2 linked regions of the Schizosaccharomyces pombe genome follow. The protein of the gene in region 1 interacts with the protein of each later gene in a biochemical or structural test. Each region holds a gene or a part of one and is shown in the gene's direction. Other genes may lie near its edges.

Region 1 (8,312 bases):
TATACAGTCATCCTACAAAACAAAAACTTACCGATGGACCTGGCCAACCCAACAACTTCAGCAATGAATGACTGACTGGATAAGTCAAATTCGAGCCACTATATTTATATCTCTTGGAAGCTTAACGAATTTAACCAACCTGCTGTCAAATGCACAAACCTTCGCTAACCTTGTGAGAGTGGAGATAGCAAAATTTTTTCTTTTATGCCGAGGAGATGCTAATTATGCTGCTATGAAGTCGGTCAAGAGTAAATCTGGTCCTTATATGACGCAAGCTAGATCTAGATTAATGCTATAGGCATACGAAACTTTGGTATTAAAAAAAAAAAAAAAAAAAAAAAAAAAAAAAAAAACTAACTCAGTATAACAATATTGACAATAATAATATACCGAACCTGTGGTGTTTTTCCAGACTTGGCATCATAATAATTGGCCTAATTTTTCTGCAGGTCAAAGGTGCTTTTGGGAAGGGAAGTTCCATTTTCTCTCAATAGGCCACGAACTCGGTCTTTCAATTCCCTGCATTTTTGTATCCGCTATCGCTAATGTGGGTCCAGTAACAAGGGAGTGTGATTTTAGAGTCAGTTAGATGGAAAAGCTATCATTTACTGCCTAAAAGCAGTTCGAAATCTCGGATCTACGAACTAAGAAGCCGAACGGCTCATTCGCGTTATCAACGGGTATCTATGTATATAGACGGATCGTTACCCGTGATTATCAATAAACGGATCTTAGCTAGTATTCCAACATATGACATATAGTGATACGCAACGTAGTGTATCATAGCGTAGAGTAGTATTGCTGACAACTAAAGTATTTTGCGAGCGTGCGGTACAACTCTGTAATCATAAGAAATCAACTCGCAATATTAGTCTCAATTGTACACTCTCCAACAACCCACATATCGAAATGGAACAGAAACCGGAAGTTGATTACTCAGAGAAGTTTGCAGAGTTACAAAAAAGTTTAAATAACCTTAATACCATAGACATCGTACGTAAAAATCAAAATTTTGACTAATCTCTAACTTGTAATTGTAGGATGCGAACCTCGAGAAGCTTTTGATTTTTGAGAAGCAAGTTCGTCAGGCTTCTGACACCAGCACGAATACGAAAGTATTAATATACATTGCTGATTTGCTCTTTCGAGCTGGTGATTTCCAAGGCTTAAACGAACAGTTGGTTAGTCTCTTTAAAAAGCATGGCCAACTGAAACAATCGATGACAAGTTTAGTCCAACATGTAATGACCTATCTTCCTGGAATTGACGATTTAAAAACAAAAATTAATTTGATTGAAACATTGCGTACTATTACTGATGGAAAGATATATGTGGAAGTAGAAAGGGCACGTCTTACACAACTGCTTTCCCAGATTAAAGAAGAGCAAGGTGACATCAAATCTGCCCAGGAGATCTTGTGTAATGAACCAGTAGAGACTTACGGATCTTTTGATTTGAAGGAAAAAGTTGCATTCATTTTGGATCAAGTTAGATTATTCTTACTGAGGTCTGATTACTACATGGCATCTACTTACACGAAGAAAATAAATGTTAAGTTTTTTGAAAAGGAAGACGTCCAGTCTTTAAAACTTAAGTATTATGAGCAAAAAATCCGAATTGGTTTGCACGACGATGCATATCTTGATGTTTGTAAATATTATCGAGCAGTTTATGACACCGCCGTGGTTCAAGAGGACCCCGAGAAATGGAAAGAAATATTAGAAAATGTCGTTTGCTTTGCCTTGCTTACTCCTTATGATAACGAGCAGGCAGATCTTCTTCACCGAATTAATGCTGACCATAAACTAAATTCTCTTCCTTTACTCCAACAATTGGTTAAGTGCTTTATTGTCAATGAACTAATGAGATGGCCCAAAATTGCCGAAATCTATGGAAGTGCTTTAAGGAGTAATCCTGTTTTTGCTGAAAATGACGAAAAAGGTGAGAAACGTTGGTCTGAACTTCGTAAGCGAGTCATCGAACACAATATTCGTGTAGTCGCAAACTATTATTCCCGCATTCATTGCAGTCGTCTAGGAGTGTTGTTGGATATGAGTCCTTCCGAAACAGAACAATTTCTTTGCGACCTTATTGCAAAGCATCATTTCTATGCCAAGATTGATCGCCCAGCTCAAGTCATTTCATTCAAGAAATCTCAAAATGTGCAAGAGCAATTGAATGAGTGGGGTTCCAATATTACTGAACTTCTTGGAAAATTGGAAAAGGTAAGACAGCTTATTATAAAAGAAGAAATGATGAATTCTATTCAACAGGCGGTAGCCAAATAAATTGTTCCGTCTCTATTTCATTTCGTTACTTTCATGACTTTGTCATTTAAATAATATACTATTGGTTCAAAGGCCTTCAACTTTTTTTACGAGAATACAATAGTTTTAATGTCGAATTGCAACCTCGGAGAAAGTTATTCTAGTAAGTTTGTAGTGATTTTCGTTGTTATTTGTCTCGTAACTAGAAGGTTAACTTGATGAATTATTTTAAATAAATTATTGTAGTTCACTCAATATGTAGTCCCTTAATTTTTATTTCAGTTGAGTTTAGTTAAAAGATTGCCATTGGTATCATATCTGGCCTCAAAAAAAGTATAGCTTAGAAGAATATCGTCAATATCCTTCATATTTGGATCATCAGCAAATTCTGGATCTATAAAGAAAAACACAGGCAAGTCTACTTTTTCATGAGCATCTAGCTTTTGCTCTTCAAAGCAAAAGCATGCAACCTTTGAGAAGTAAACAGCGGCTTGACCTGGTACTATATTATAAGTTGCAACTCCTACTATGTCATGGTCGGACGTATTTTCAGCAGTATAAAACCCTAGAGCAGTCTCGCCTGGAAGAACATATATTTCACGCTGCTGGGGCCAAAGCTTCCAGCTAAGGTTTCCTGCAACGTCGCCATTGAAAGTAACTCTGATTCTTTTATTGTCTTTACGAGGAACCATTCTTTCTGCATTCATACGACTTTGGTCGGTATTAAGAGTGCCACCATAACCTGTTTTCGAACAGAAAAGACGATATAAAGGTACAGCCGCATATGTCAAGCCCAACGCAAAAATGGAAATTGCAACCAGATAATAGATAGTGGTCCTTTGATTATAGTGGAATTTATCTCTCGAATATTGTCGTGAAATATTCCTGGTACCAGAGATGCAATTGTAACAGCTAAATGAAGTAAAAATACAAGGGAAACGATGTGAATTAAAGTCTGCAAATCGAGAAAAAGCTTTATGACGATTAGTCGAATAGAATCGTTTTCCGACAAAAATAGGATCTGCAGTTGTATTTCTTTCAACTTTGGGTTTATTATATGAGGGGGGATTGATTGAATAGGTAGAAGAAGCATCTTTTAAATGTTTAGTAATTTTACTACTTGGAGAAGTACTTTGAACTTTGCCCTCTAACGGAAACAAGTCGCCCCAAGCACTTTTCCTAGCTAATCGATAAGCTAGTTTACCTTGTGATTTAGGAACAATATTCCTTCTAAGCCGAGCATCGCTATCACAGACATCAATTATGACATGTCCATCTCGCTTCAGTGGAGGTCGAATTATACGTGGCCAGTTTTTAAGAGTTGGAGATGTAACATTCACATTTTCTAGTAAATCCTCATCATTCTTGAACCTTTGTGTGGTATTATTAAGCGGTCTAGTTATACCCTTTTGAATAACAACATAACTGTAATGAGAGCGATCCGAGGATCGACGATGAGAACGAGGGACATATAGACGGGAAAATGGGGATAGGAAAAAATGTTGTTTGAAAGAACAAATATTTGCTCTTACCCCATTTTCTATATCAATGGGGCAGCGACCATCGTGGGGACAGGGTGCTACAATATGGGCATTGAATTGTTTATCAGAAGTATTTTTACTTTTTTGCAATAGAAATGTTCTAGCTCTTTGAATCAAACTAAAGCCACGCTTTGTGCCTCGCTCGCAGAGCACCAAAAGACCACCATCATTTGACACGAGACTCCAAAGCGAACGAAGATAATCAAAGAGTTCTTTCTCCGATTTCATTTCAAGAAGCTTGTTAGATGCAATAACTAGAGTGTATGAATCCTTTTTACCCAATGGTAGACGGTTAAGCGTAACAGGGCTAGTTGGATTCGGCGAAGTTGACGGGTAAATGTTATGGTGAATATCATATATGATTTTTTTCAAAAATGGGTTCTCCTCAACAATTGAAACTGAATTAGGTGTGGGAAAGACTGAATAACTAGCTAGAGCACCAATACCTGGACCTTTACCGCAATCCAGTATATGTTGAGACTTGCAAGACACATCACTGTTTACAATTTTCAAGTCAGTCAATACGCTGTATAGAGAAGCATATTGATACGGCATAGACTGATGAATATAAGCTAAAACTTGGGGATCTGTCATAGTCCGAGTAGATTCATCTTTGAATGGCGCAGACAATGGAAGCTGAGATTCCGTAGCCAAATCTTTTTTAATATCATTAATAAATTTTTTAATTTGTCCTTTTTCGCTCTTTTTCAATAAATCGTCCACATATAGATTAAATTTTGTATGCAAACTAATATCACCACTTTTCTTTTGATCCTTTACCAAAAAGTCGAGTAAACTGGAAGCTTCTGGACGATGTGAAGAGATCAATTCGTTTTTATAATCAGAAAAGTTGTTTTGAACAGCTTGAAAATTTGCATTATACCACCTAATGGTAGTGGTTGTTCCATATGGTATGAGACATCGCTGATTTTGAAAAGTAAAGCAATTCCGTAAATTATAAAGAAACAGAATTTTATATCTGCATGTTAGAATGGGCATATGTGCTGCTCAAAACACCAATTCACCAATGAACAATGGGATTTGGGGATAAAGCACTGATCTGTATATTGTGTAGAGTAAGTGCCTGATTAAGTGGCCGCAGATGGTGTTACTTGCGTTGACAGAAGAATGAATAGTACAATTTCCTACATATCTATATGTTTTATGTTTATTAAATTAGTTCAAGGATAGGCAATTCTGTCTGAGTGAATATTCTCCCAGTTTTAGCTTCTTATACACTTCAAAAAAATGCAAAACTTTGAACTTCTTTGAAAATAAGAACAAGTAATAAATTTTATGATAGTAAAGGAATTATCAAGAAATAGCTAAAATTAGTTTTAGCATTACACTTGATCAAGATAGACTCTTCACATTGATAGTTCTACAGATACCTCTTTAACCTTACCATTCTATTATACTAGGGTAATCTTCGATTTACGAAACATTCCTTGTTAACTAACTACAAACGAAAAGTTGCCGGAAAAAAACAGCCTACATTCCTTGAGTATTTTCATGAAAATTCGGTAATTCTTTTCCATTTGGTTTATATGAGAAGTTTGCAATTGTACAATAATAATTCAAAATGCCCTCGAAAAGAAAAAGAAATCCTTTACAATATCAGACTTCAGGATCATTAGATGAGGAAACAAATCAACGCAGCGCTTTTCCACAAATCGACAACAATAGTGCTTCAGAATCTTTGGAATATGATATACCACTTGATGGTTTAGATTATTTAGCAACTGTGAGGTACGAACATTTATATATGAATTTTTGTGAAAATCGAAATTTGCAACATGAATGCTTTAATCTAATCATTGTAACAATAATTGGGCTTTTTACTGACAAGTTCAGAGAAGAAGCTCGCAAGCTAGTTCCATTTGTAGCGGCGCGTCGTGAGCCTGAAACAAGAGAAACCATTCCTCTTCGCAAATTGGAAATCGAGGCCGGCAAAAAAAGCTTTGACCCGTTTTTACGATACTTACTAAACATAATTGATAAAGAAGGGGAAAGGCTTGAGCAATATATGGAATCTTCTTCATTGGACGCATCTATTTTACCTAAAAATTTACAACAATGGCGTGTATATATTGAGCATAAAGCTCCTTGTTGGGCCATATTAGCAGTGGTTGATTTGGCAACTGTTTTGGAGATCCTAGAAAGCTTGTCCAGCTGGCTTGAAAAGGACGCAATTGATTTACAGGTTGGTAACAAGGATCTCATGCTACTTTGCTGGTGTATTTTTGTTCATTCTAAAATTTGCTAACATTTTTCTAGAGTCAATGGATTTTTTGCTTTTGTTATAAACTTCCTGAGCTTTTGAATGGAGAAGATATATCGACCCTACGTTCAGTACTCAAGTCTTTACGAAGTACGCATACTTCTTTTCCTGCTCTGCAGATGTCAGCATCTGCCCTTCAAGCAGTCTTAGTTTATCGATATGGACAAAAAGATCTCTTTCAAACATAGAGTCTATAAATCTTGGTCGAAAAAAATTTAGGTACACATGTTCATATAGCATACGTTTGTTTATAGGGAAAAAATTAAAATTGATAGCTTGTTTTAAATATGTTTTTAGGATATTATTACTTTTTTGAATGAAAACATATGCTACACGGATATGCTGGGCTTTGCATCTTTGAACATGTGATTAAGCAAGCTTGGAGATAGCTGCAATAAACAATTTGCCTATTACAAATCGATAGATATATTTTAAAAAAACACGTTTGAATTGAGATAGGCAAAGTTATTTGTTTATTGATTCACATTTTCATTTTACAAAAAATGGCTTACTATTTGTTTAGTACGTGCATTCGTTTTGCTGTCTGCATACTTGTCGAATCGAGGGTTTCAATTATGTTATTACATGATAACTAGCAACTTTCTTTAATTCGCGCCCCATCTTACGAAATTAACTAATAAATTTTTACTGTCTTTTTCGACCGAGTGATTTTTTACCCATATGAGGTTTTTCAAATTCAAAACTAATTGAACATTGCAATTATTCTTTGGGAAAAAACAAAAGTCAAATAAAGATAAAATAAAAAAGAAATAATTACAACCTCACTGCCAAGAACCCCTTCGTGGTTAATTGAATCTTTTGAGTTCGAGCAATCAAGCTCCTTTTGTAAAACTAAATGTCACTAAAATTGCTCACACTTCAGTATAGCAGTCTAAATGGAGAGCTCAATTTTTTCCTTGCTGATAAGCGGACTCTGATCTCGCTACGTGAATACTTTCTTTCCTTCGACTAAACGTCAACTTGTCGAGACTTTGATGAAATAGTGGCAGTTAAAGCCAGAAAGCTACTGAATGTTAATTCATTTCTTCTATAGTTGCCATGTACTAAGAATCACGCCTAAAGCAATTTTCCCTAATAAATTCCGATGCTAAACATCCCTTAAATTACAAAGTTTTGTCAAACGATGGAGCAATCGTCGCTTAAAAAGCGCAATTTCAAAGGCATGCATTTCAACTTGCTTTGACCATGCTCTCCCAAATTTTGAACGAATATTTATTTATTAAAAAATTTACGCTACTTGAGCTATTCAGAACAATCAATAATACATATCTAATACATTTCTCTTGCTTTTCAACTATATAACGAGGCTTTCCTTCTCGTTATTAAACTTATCGCAAACTACGATAGGAAAATAAGATTATTTGAGAATTATTTTTCACTATACGATATAGCACACATTACGCCGTTTGGATATTGAATGTGTTTACGCTTAAAAAAGTTTATCCTTTGCAACTAACATTGTAATTGTGGTAAACGGGTTTGTTTGAAGTGACGGACAATGGGAAGAGTTGCCAGAAAAAGAAAGCATCATAGCAATGGAAATCATGCTTTGTTTAGAACTCGTGTTTATGGGAGGTATGCAAATTTCATGGTCATTCAATCATCGTTTGGTAAATTAACAATTGGACAAATAGAGACTTAGATCAGATTCACAATGACTTAACAGAGTCTGAGAAATTTGATAAATTACCTATAGATCCGGATTTGCCAGGTTTAGGTCAACATTATTGCATTGAATGTGCACGGTACTTTGACTCGTCTCAAGCATTGCTGGTGCATAAGAAGGGAAAGGTTCACAAACGAAGGTTAAAAAATTTGCGTGAAGAGCCGTATACACAAGAAGAAGCAGAAGCTGCGGTGAATATTGGACAGCCAAAACAGAGTGTAGCTTCCAAGCTTGCTGACAATAGTAACGTTGTCATGGCGGACTAAACTAGAGACACATTTACGAATGCTAAGTTAGTCAGCACTTTTGCTTTTGTTCCATATTCGTAGCGCATGCTCTTTATTTAAACAGATTTTTATATGTCTCATTCTCATTTATTCTGCTATATTATCATTAGCAGCGTTTATTGGTAATTTTAGTTGCATCCATGTTTGGATTACAAATTTACAACTAATACCTTACCATTGGTTACTGGATGTTAATCTAGCTTCAAGAGTGAGCATCTCAAACTACCTTCACGTTATTTTGGTTTCTTT
Region 2 (6,595 bases), 450 kb from region 1:
ATACGGAGATAAAATTCATCGATTTCTACTGGCCGGATTTTTCTATCTGGAAGTTTTTCCCAATGTTAATTCAATACCAGTTACAAAACCAACCAGCATAATTTATTCAATCCTTCGTTACTTATTTACTTTTGATAGGCTTTGGCTGTTAATTTTACATTGTATACATTTAATATGTGTTAGTAGCTGATGTAAATAGTTAGACACTACTCTAATTATGTCTTCTTAAATATTGTTAAAATGAAACTTTCTACGGTCTTGATCCGGAAAAATTAATAACTTCCAAATATGCTTGATCATCACGCTGCACTGCAGCCACACAACGCATAGCATCAAAATCGACATGCCATATTTTTGTGAGGTCTGTTAATAGAAAACGTAACAGCTTTCCAGTCCTAACATCCCATAACTTTACAGAACCATCATTACCACTAATAATTTTGTGTTCATCTGACACAAAGCTACTAATGTAGCCTGAATTAGACGGCAAAACCATTAATGGTTTCCCAGTATTCAAATCCCATATTCTAATTGTGGAGTCAGCAGAACCTGATATCAACCTATTCTGGAATACATTAAGAAGCGTAACAAAGGCATCATGGCCTTCAAGCACATATTTACAAGTCCCTGTCGATAAATCCCAAACCCTAATGGACTTATCCATGCTACCGCTTATGCAAATATTCCTTTCTGGTTCATATAAAACACTATATATACGAAGACTATGACCCCGCAGATGGTAAAGACATTCCCCTGTTGAAACTCTCCAAATGCGAATTGAAGAATCATAACTCCCACTCACAAGTATATCACCATAGCCGGATATAGTTCGTACAGAGTCTGTATGTCCTATCAAAGTATGTACAAAATACGGGTTCTTCTCCCAACGGTCAATAGAGTTTGTATTATCTGGAAGATAAGGAGGATCCGTGTTTTTTGGAAGCTTCCAAACCCGAAGTGTATGATCCCGAGAGCCGCTGACAATGTACGGTTGATCTGGTTCAACAATTTCAACTCCATGGCGAATAAGACGACTCGGAACTAAGATCTCTAAGCATCTGATGATGGAAATATGTCCCCTAAATATGTGCGTACATTTAGCTTTCTCTATGTTCCAAACGCGAACAGTTTTATCGATCGAACCAGATACAAGTGTATTCTCATGTATTTTGACAGCCCAAACACCTTCTTTATGACCCTCTAATCGAGCTTCTAAAACACCGGTAATAGCATTATGAATTTGAATTGTTCCAGATCCCGAAGTGGTGATTATTCTGTCTTTATGAAGTAGTAAAGAAGTTATCATAAAGTTTGGAACATGAATGGGAAAAGATAGATGACTTGGAGGTATCGAAGGAAATAACCATCGTTTTCTATTGAGAAAATGTCTTTTGAAAATTTCCGGAAAATAGTCATCTGAGATTTGGTCGTTGTGCAAAAAAGGTGGACGATTTAAGTTTGGATTAGCATATTTCCAGTCATTTTCATTGATTTGAAAGCCAAATAAACTAAACATGTGTTTCCAGTATGAAGTATGCACATCAAGTATTCTATTCCAAGTAGGCGAAACAAGACGGCAAGAAAGAAAAGAATGTATATCCAGATTTAATAATATAGACTGAACAATGGAAAAAGGAAGATTTGAAAGTATATCTTTTTTTAGAAGCGGCTCGCATTCATTCAATAATAAACGCATCGATTGCCGATTGCACGAACGGAGTAGTTGAAAAAACGCATAAGATTGAATTCCTTCTGGAAGATCCTCAAAAGTTTGAACAATTGACTGTAAGTTTAAATCTTCAAGATCCTCAGAGATAGGTTTACTACCAGGTGAAACAGTGTTTGATGTGTCGACTTTCGGAGAAGGAGGGAAATTGTCGGAGTTAGATGAAATGCTATTATCTAACTTAATTCGATTGTTTCTATCAATTGATATAATTTTAGGTGGAAGAGAAGAATGAGAATATAGAAAATTCCTTTGAGGAACAAGGGAAATGGAAAAATCGCCAGGAACACTATCTGGCGGTGAGTGGTCTAAGCATTTATAAGAGACATTCTCTATACTTTCATTAAACTTTCGAAGAAAAGAAGGCGTACAAGAATGCTTTAATGGGTACTGATACGAATCAGTGCACGGCAGGGAAGAACTCGTATTGCCATTACAACTATTTGATTCTGAGCGAGGATCCGATGCAATTTGATCATCTTGAGGAAGCAGGTTATCCCCATGAATAAGTGAAGAAGGAAATACTTGAGGATCAAATGATTCTGGAGGTGTAGCAGGGCTGCTGCTATTTATTAAAGGAACAGAGGAATTTATACGGGAGGACGAATTGTCAGTTGGACACCTAGAGAGTGACATGCGTAGATGCAATGATTGTGATTTTTCGTTGAAATAAATAAGAAGTCAAAAATGAGCTTTAAGGAAAACAGTCGATAAAACAATCTGAAAATAAATTGGAAAAGAGACCAATGAAAAAGTTACTGACAGATTGGAAAGAAGAAACAACACCGTTATGGTTTGTTTCTACAGATTAATCAAAAACTGGCATATGCCGAAATTAGATACAGATTAAAAAGTGCGGGCATAAAGAGAAAATGAATAATGGAAAGGTTTTTTTATAAGTAATCTTTTAATTGAAAAAATAACAGAAGCTCAATATGCGTTGTTCATACCATACAGAATCTTTGTGTGTGGTAGGAGGCAAGTTCTGGCGGAGAATTTGTAAACAAAAGTTCGTACAATGCGAATGCAAAACTTGTAATAAAAAGATACATGAATTGATACTTTTTAAGTAAATAAATATAAAGCGGTACCTAAAACAGGAAACATGGATTAAGAAAATTGAGTAGAAGTTATATGATACAGATTAGCGTAAGCAGCGTTTTCAAACAAAATATATGCATTTTTTATTTTTCTGAGCTAGAATTTGATGTTCGTTGATAAATAAAATAAGTTTTATGGAAGTTAATACGAAAACTGATTGTAAATCCCATTGCTGGTATATTGTTAGCAAAAAAAACCATAATGGCCTAAGTATCAGTTTCATAAATTCAAAAACAACTAAAAATTTGGGTTCGAATGAAAAACATACTTGATTTACGTCTGCTACGGAAGCTATACTCATCTTGTAATTCCACGCCTCTCATACAGCTACCGAAAATTGCTACTACTTTTTGACCTGAACATAAACCGTGTTTTAAAAAGTTTGGTTTTTATTAATGTTTTTTTTATCTTTTTTGTTTTCTCACATTATTTGAATAATTAATGAAATGGATTCTCACACAACAGAAAAGCGTAGAGGTTCTTACCTGCGCGTCCTGTTTAAGAATGGACGTTTACCAGTAGAAGGATTTCTTTGGAACTGTGATCCCTTGACTGGAACATTAATTTTGATTCAACCTCTTACTCCCAATACAGACGAGGTTGAAGATACTCATTATCGTTTTTATGGTATAATGTCGGATGCTATTCAGACCATTGAACCCGACGAAAGTATGTCTCCTCTTAATCAACAATCGCTAGCAGAATATGATTCTCTATTAACTTCATGATGCGAATTGCATTCAGCGTTTGAAATATATGATTTGAATCTACAATTCTGATGGATAATTCGCTTCTTTTGCGAGGGAAATGTTTTCCTTCCTTTATCGTAAATTAACTATATAAAATATTGTTATACTGAATTGACTTCGACGAATCACTTCAACGCCTTTTTTGCAACCTGAGCGGAGCGGAGTGATATCATCGGACTACAGTAACTGGTATATAGTTGCTACATTCTTTACTTCTCCCAATACCAACATCGTTCTCTTCAAAATGGCTTTTAACTACTCAATTGCCAATACCGTTGATGATGCTGCTCAAAGCATTGCTGAAAATACGAGTTCTTTAGCCACGTTTTCAAAACCGCCTTTGGTCATTGCTCATAGAGGGTATGTTTTATGAATGTATTAGTTGCATACTGCTTTTATTATTAGTAGACTTAGTTTCATATCTGCAACTTTGTACCCTTAATTGTCAAAATCCTTCTCCAATTTAGCAAATGTTTAACTTATGTTTACAGATACAAAGCTAAGTATCCTGAAAATACTATACTAGCATTTCAACAAGCCGTAAAGGCTGGTGCTGACTGCGTTGAAACAGATGTTCGACTAACTAAAGATGAAGTGGTTTGCATTTTGCATGATAGAAATCTTAACAGAGTATTCGGTGTTGATGTTGATGTTCGAGATCTTGATTATGAATTGGATAATGGTCATTTTCGTACCATTCAAGAGCCTCACGAGCCGTTACCTACCTATGAACAATTTTTGCATGAATTAACCAAGCATCCTGGCGTCAATCTACTTGTTGACATTAAGCCAGTAAACGATTTGTTAATTATTCCCAGAATGGTTGATGCAATGCTTCGGGTTAATTCTGATTTAGACTTTTGGAAAGACAAAGTATCGTTTTGTTTATGGTCACATAGGTTCATCCCTGCTTGTGATCGATATGCCCCATCAATTCCGTTATATCATATTGGATTCAACTTCGCTTATGCTGAAAGACATTTTGTTATGCATCCCAGAGTAAAGGGTGTCAGTATGGCTGTTGCTCTGTTTTTACTTCCTCATTCTCAGGATTTTGTTGATCTCGTTCATGCCCAAGGTAAACAAGTCTTTGCATGGACTTTAAACACACCTTCTTCTATCTATCTTGCTTTAATTAGAGGCTGTGACGGACTTTTATCTGATGATCCGGTGATGGCTAGAGCTCTTTCCCAAGGCCCAATTGTTACCAAATCTTGGCATTATTTCCATTATTCCGAGTGGCTTCATATGATTTATGGTTTCTTACGAGCACAATTTGTCTTCTTTTTATTGAGAACCTTTGTGTTGTAAGTATGTTATTCTAAATATGGAAAATACATATATTATGATTGATGAATACTAGAATTCCGGTTTTAGTGATTGAGCATTTTTGTTGCTCTTCCATTTGTTTAAATCCCATCTCCCAATTTTTTCTTATTTGCTTGAGAGTTTACGCTCTATCTTTTTGTATTATTGCAATCGCTCACTAAAGATTTTTGTCATTAGGACAGCCACGTTGAAGCAGAAAAAAGAGAAATTCGCAAACATACGTGGCATTTCAATTGATAAAAAAGTTTTTTTCTATCGTTTTTTTCGTTTCAAAAATATACTTATTTACAATAAATAACATAACTTGGCAAGGCATTATGCCGTCCTAAATAATTTGCATTTAGTACGGAACAAGCGTATTCTGCAGTAGTAGTTTAATCATTGATACTCTTATTATCTTATGAAAACTAATATTTAAGAACTAGTTAACACTTTTAATAGTTTGAGTCAGTATATTAACAAAAGAGCCTTGATTCATCAACAATAGATGCTACCAGTTAACTATTAATATAAATTCGTCTATAAGAAGTTCAATGAGATTTTCTAATTAAAAAAAAAAAAACGTACTTAATTCGAAGCATGCTTCTAGCTTAAATTATCAAACAAATTACAAAGAAATGAATTTTATTTTTTTAGGGATATAATCAATGGTTAATTTTCAAAGAAAAAATTATGATCTGGTTCGTGGTGTGCAGAGTGGTAGTATACGTACCCATCCATTCATACTATAATACTTTCATAGCTGCATAGCTACAACATCAAATATCATACATGTCAAAATGACAGATTTGGAGATAGAAACCGTTAGTAGGGTTTCTAGTAATCCTGATGAAGTAAAAGGATCGTCTGTTGTCGAAGAAGAACCGGATAGTGAATCAACAATCAAAAGTCGAGTTTCTGATGAAATAGATGAACATGATTCCATACCTGAACAGTCTAATACTGAAAAAAGTATAGAAATTAACGATAAAAACTTAGAAGCGGAAAAAGATATTGAAAGCAATCTATCTCTAAGACCTCCAGAAGATGACTTAGATTCACGTTCGATTGAAAGTGAACAAACAGGTACTCTGAGCAAACAGACTACATCTACTTCTGAAGCTCCACAAGATCTAAAGATTTGGAAGAATATTTCAAACGCCTCTAACCAAAACTCTGGCAAACTCAATCCTCAACTCTTCGTAATTGAGGCTTTTAAGCATATGTCAAAAGCAAAGGCTACAAAACGGCATAAGAAGCTTAGGGAGGCTATCAATAATGTCCAAATAGAATTACAAAAGCAGCCATTTCTTCTTCCCGAAGTCATTTTGGAACCTTTGGTAATGGCTTGTCAAACAAATAGTACAACGTTGCTGACTATTACTTTGGATTGCTTTGCCAAGCTGATTGATTACAATTATTTTGATTCCCCAACATTAAATCCATCGGATATTACCTTAATGGAACGTGTGGTTAACACTATTGCATCCTGTTTTTGCGGTGAGTCTACTCCAGAAAGAGTGCAGCTACAAATTGTAAAGGCTTTATTGGCAGCTATTACTTCTGAAAGGACAATCATTAGACATTCGTTTTTACTTACAGCAGTGAGGCAAACTTACAATATTTTCCTCTTATGTAAAGACTCAACTACCCAAGCCATTGCTCAGGTAGCTCTTTTACAAATGGTTGATTCAGTATTCCAGCGCCTTTC

Evidence for each region.
Region 2: the proteins of yip11 (region 1) and gem6 form a complex in vitro, tested with the Schizosaccharomyces pombe proteins (one study listed by BioGRID).

The regions. Positions count from the first base shown.
Region 1 is NC_003424.3:4,903,473-4,911,784, reverse strand, and holds yip11 (SMN complex subunit Yip11/Gem2), read left to right. Parts: upstream 1-5,390; coding exon 5,391-5,557; exon of another isoform or gene 5,558-5,662; coding exon 5,663-6,011; exon of another isoform or gene 6,012-6,085; coding exon 6,086-6,277; 3' UTR 6,278-7,564; downstream 7,565-8,312. Other genes in the region: 19S proteasome regulatory subunit Rpn502, read left to right, coding at 910-993, 1,041-2,288; rsm22-cox11 tandem protein cox1102, read right to left, coding at 2,546-4,807; bud20 (zinc finger ribosome biogenesis protein), read left to right, coding at 7,609-7,685, 7,745-8,042. UniProt on the Schizosaccharomyces pombe protein: The SMN complex catalyzes the assembly of small nuclear ribonucleoproteins (snRNPs), the building blocks of the spliceosome, and thereby plays an important role in the splicing of cellular pre-mRNAs.
Region 2 is NC_003424.3:5,350,898-5,357,492, reverse strand, and holds gem6 (SMN complex subunit Gem6), read left to right. Parts: upstream 1-3,179; 5' UTR 3,180-3,273; coding exon 3,274-3,555; downstream 3,556-6,595. Other genes in the region: rer2 (cis-prenyltransferase), read left to right, coding at 1-101; F-box/WD repeat protein Pop2, read right to left, coding at 251-2,362; pgc1 (glycerophosphoryl diester phosphodiesterase), read left to right, coding at 3,821-3,936, 4,068-4,887; Sec7 domain-containing protein sec71, read left to right, coding at 5,685-6,595.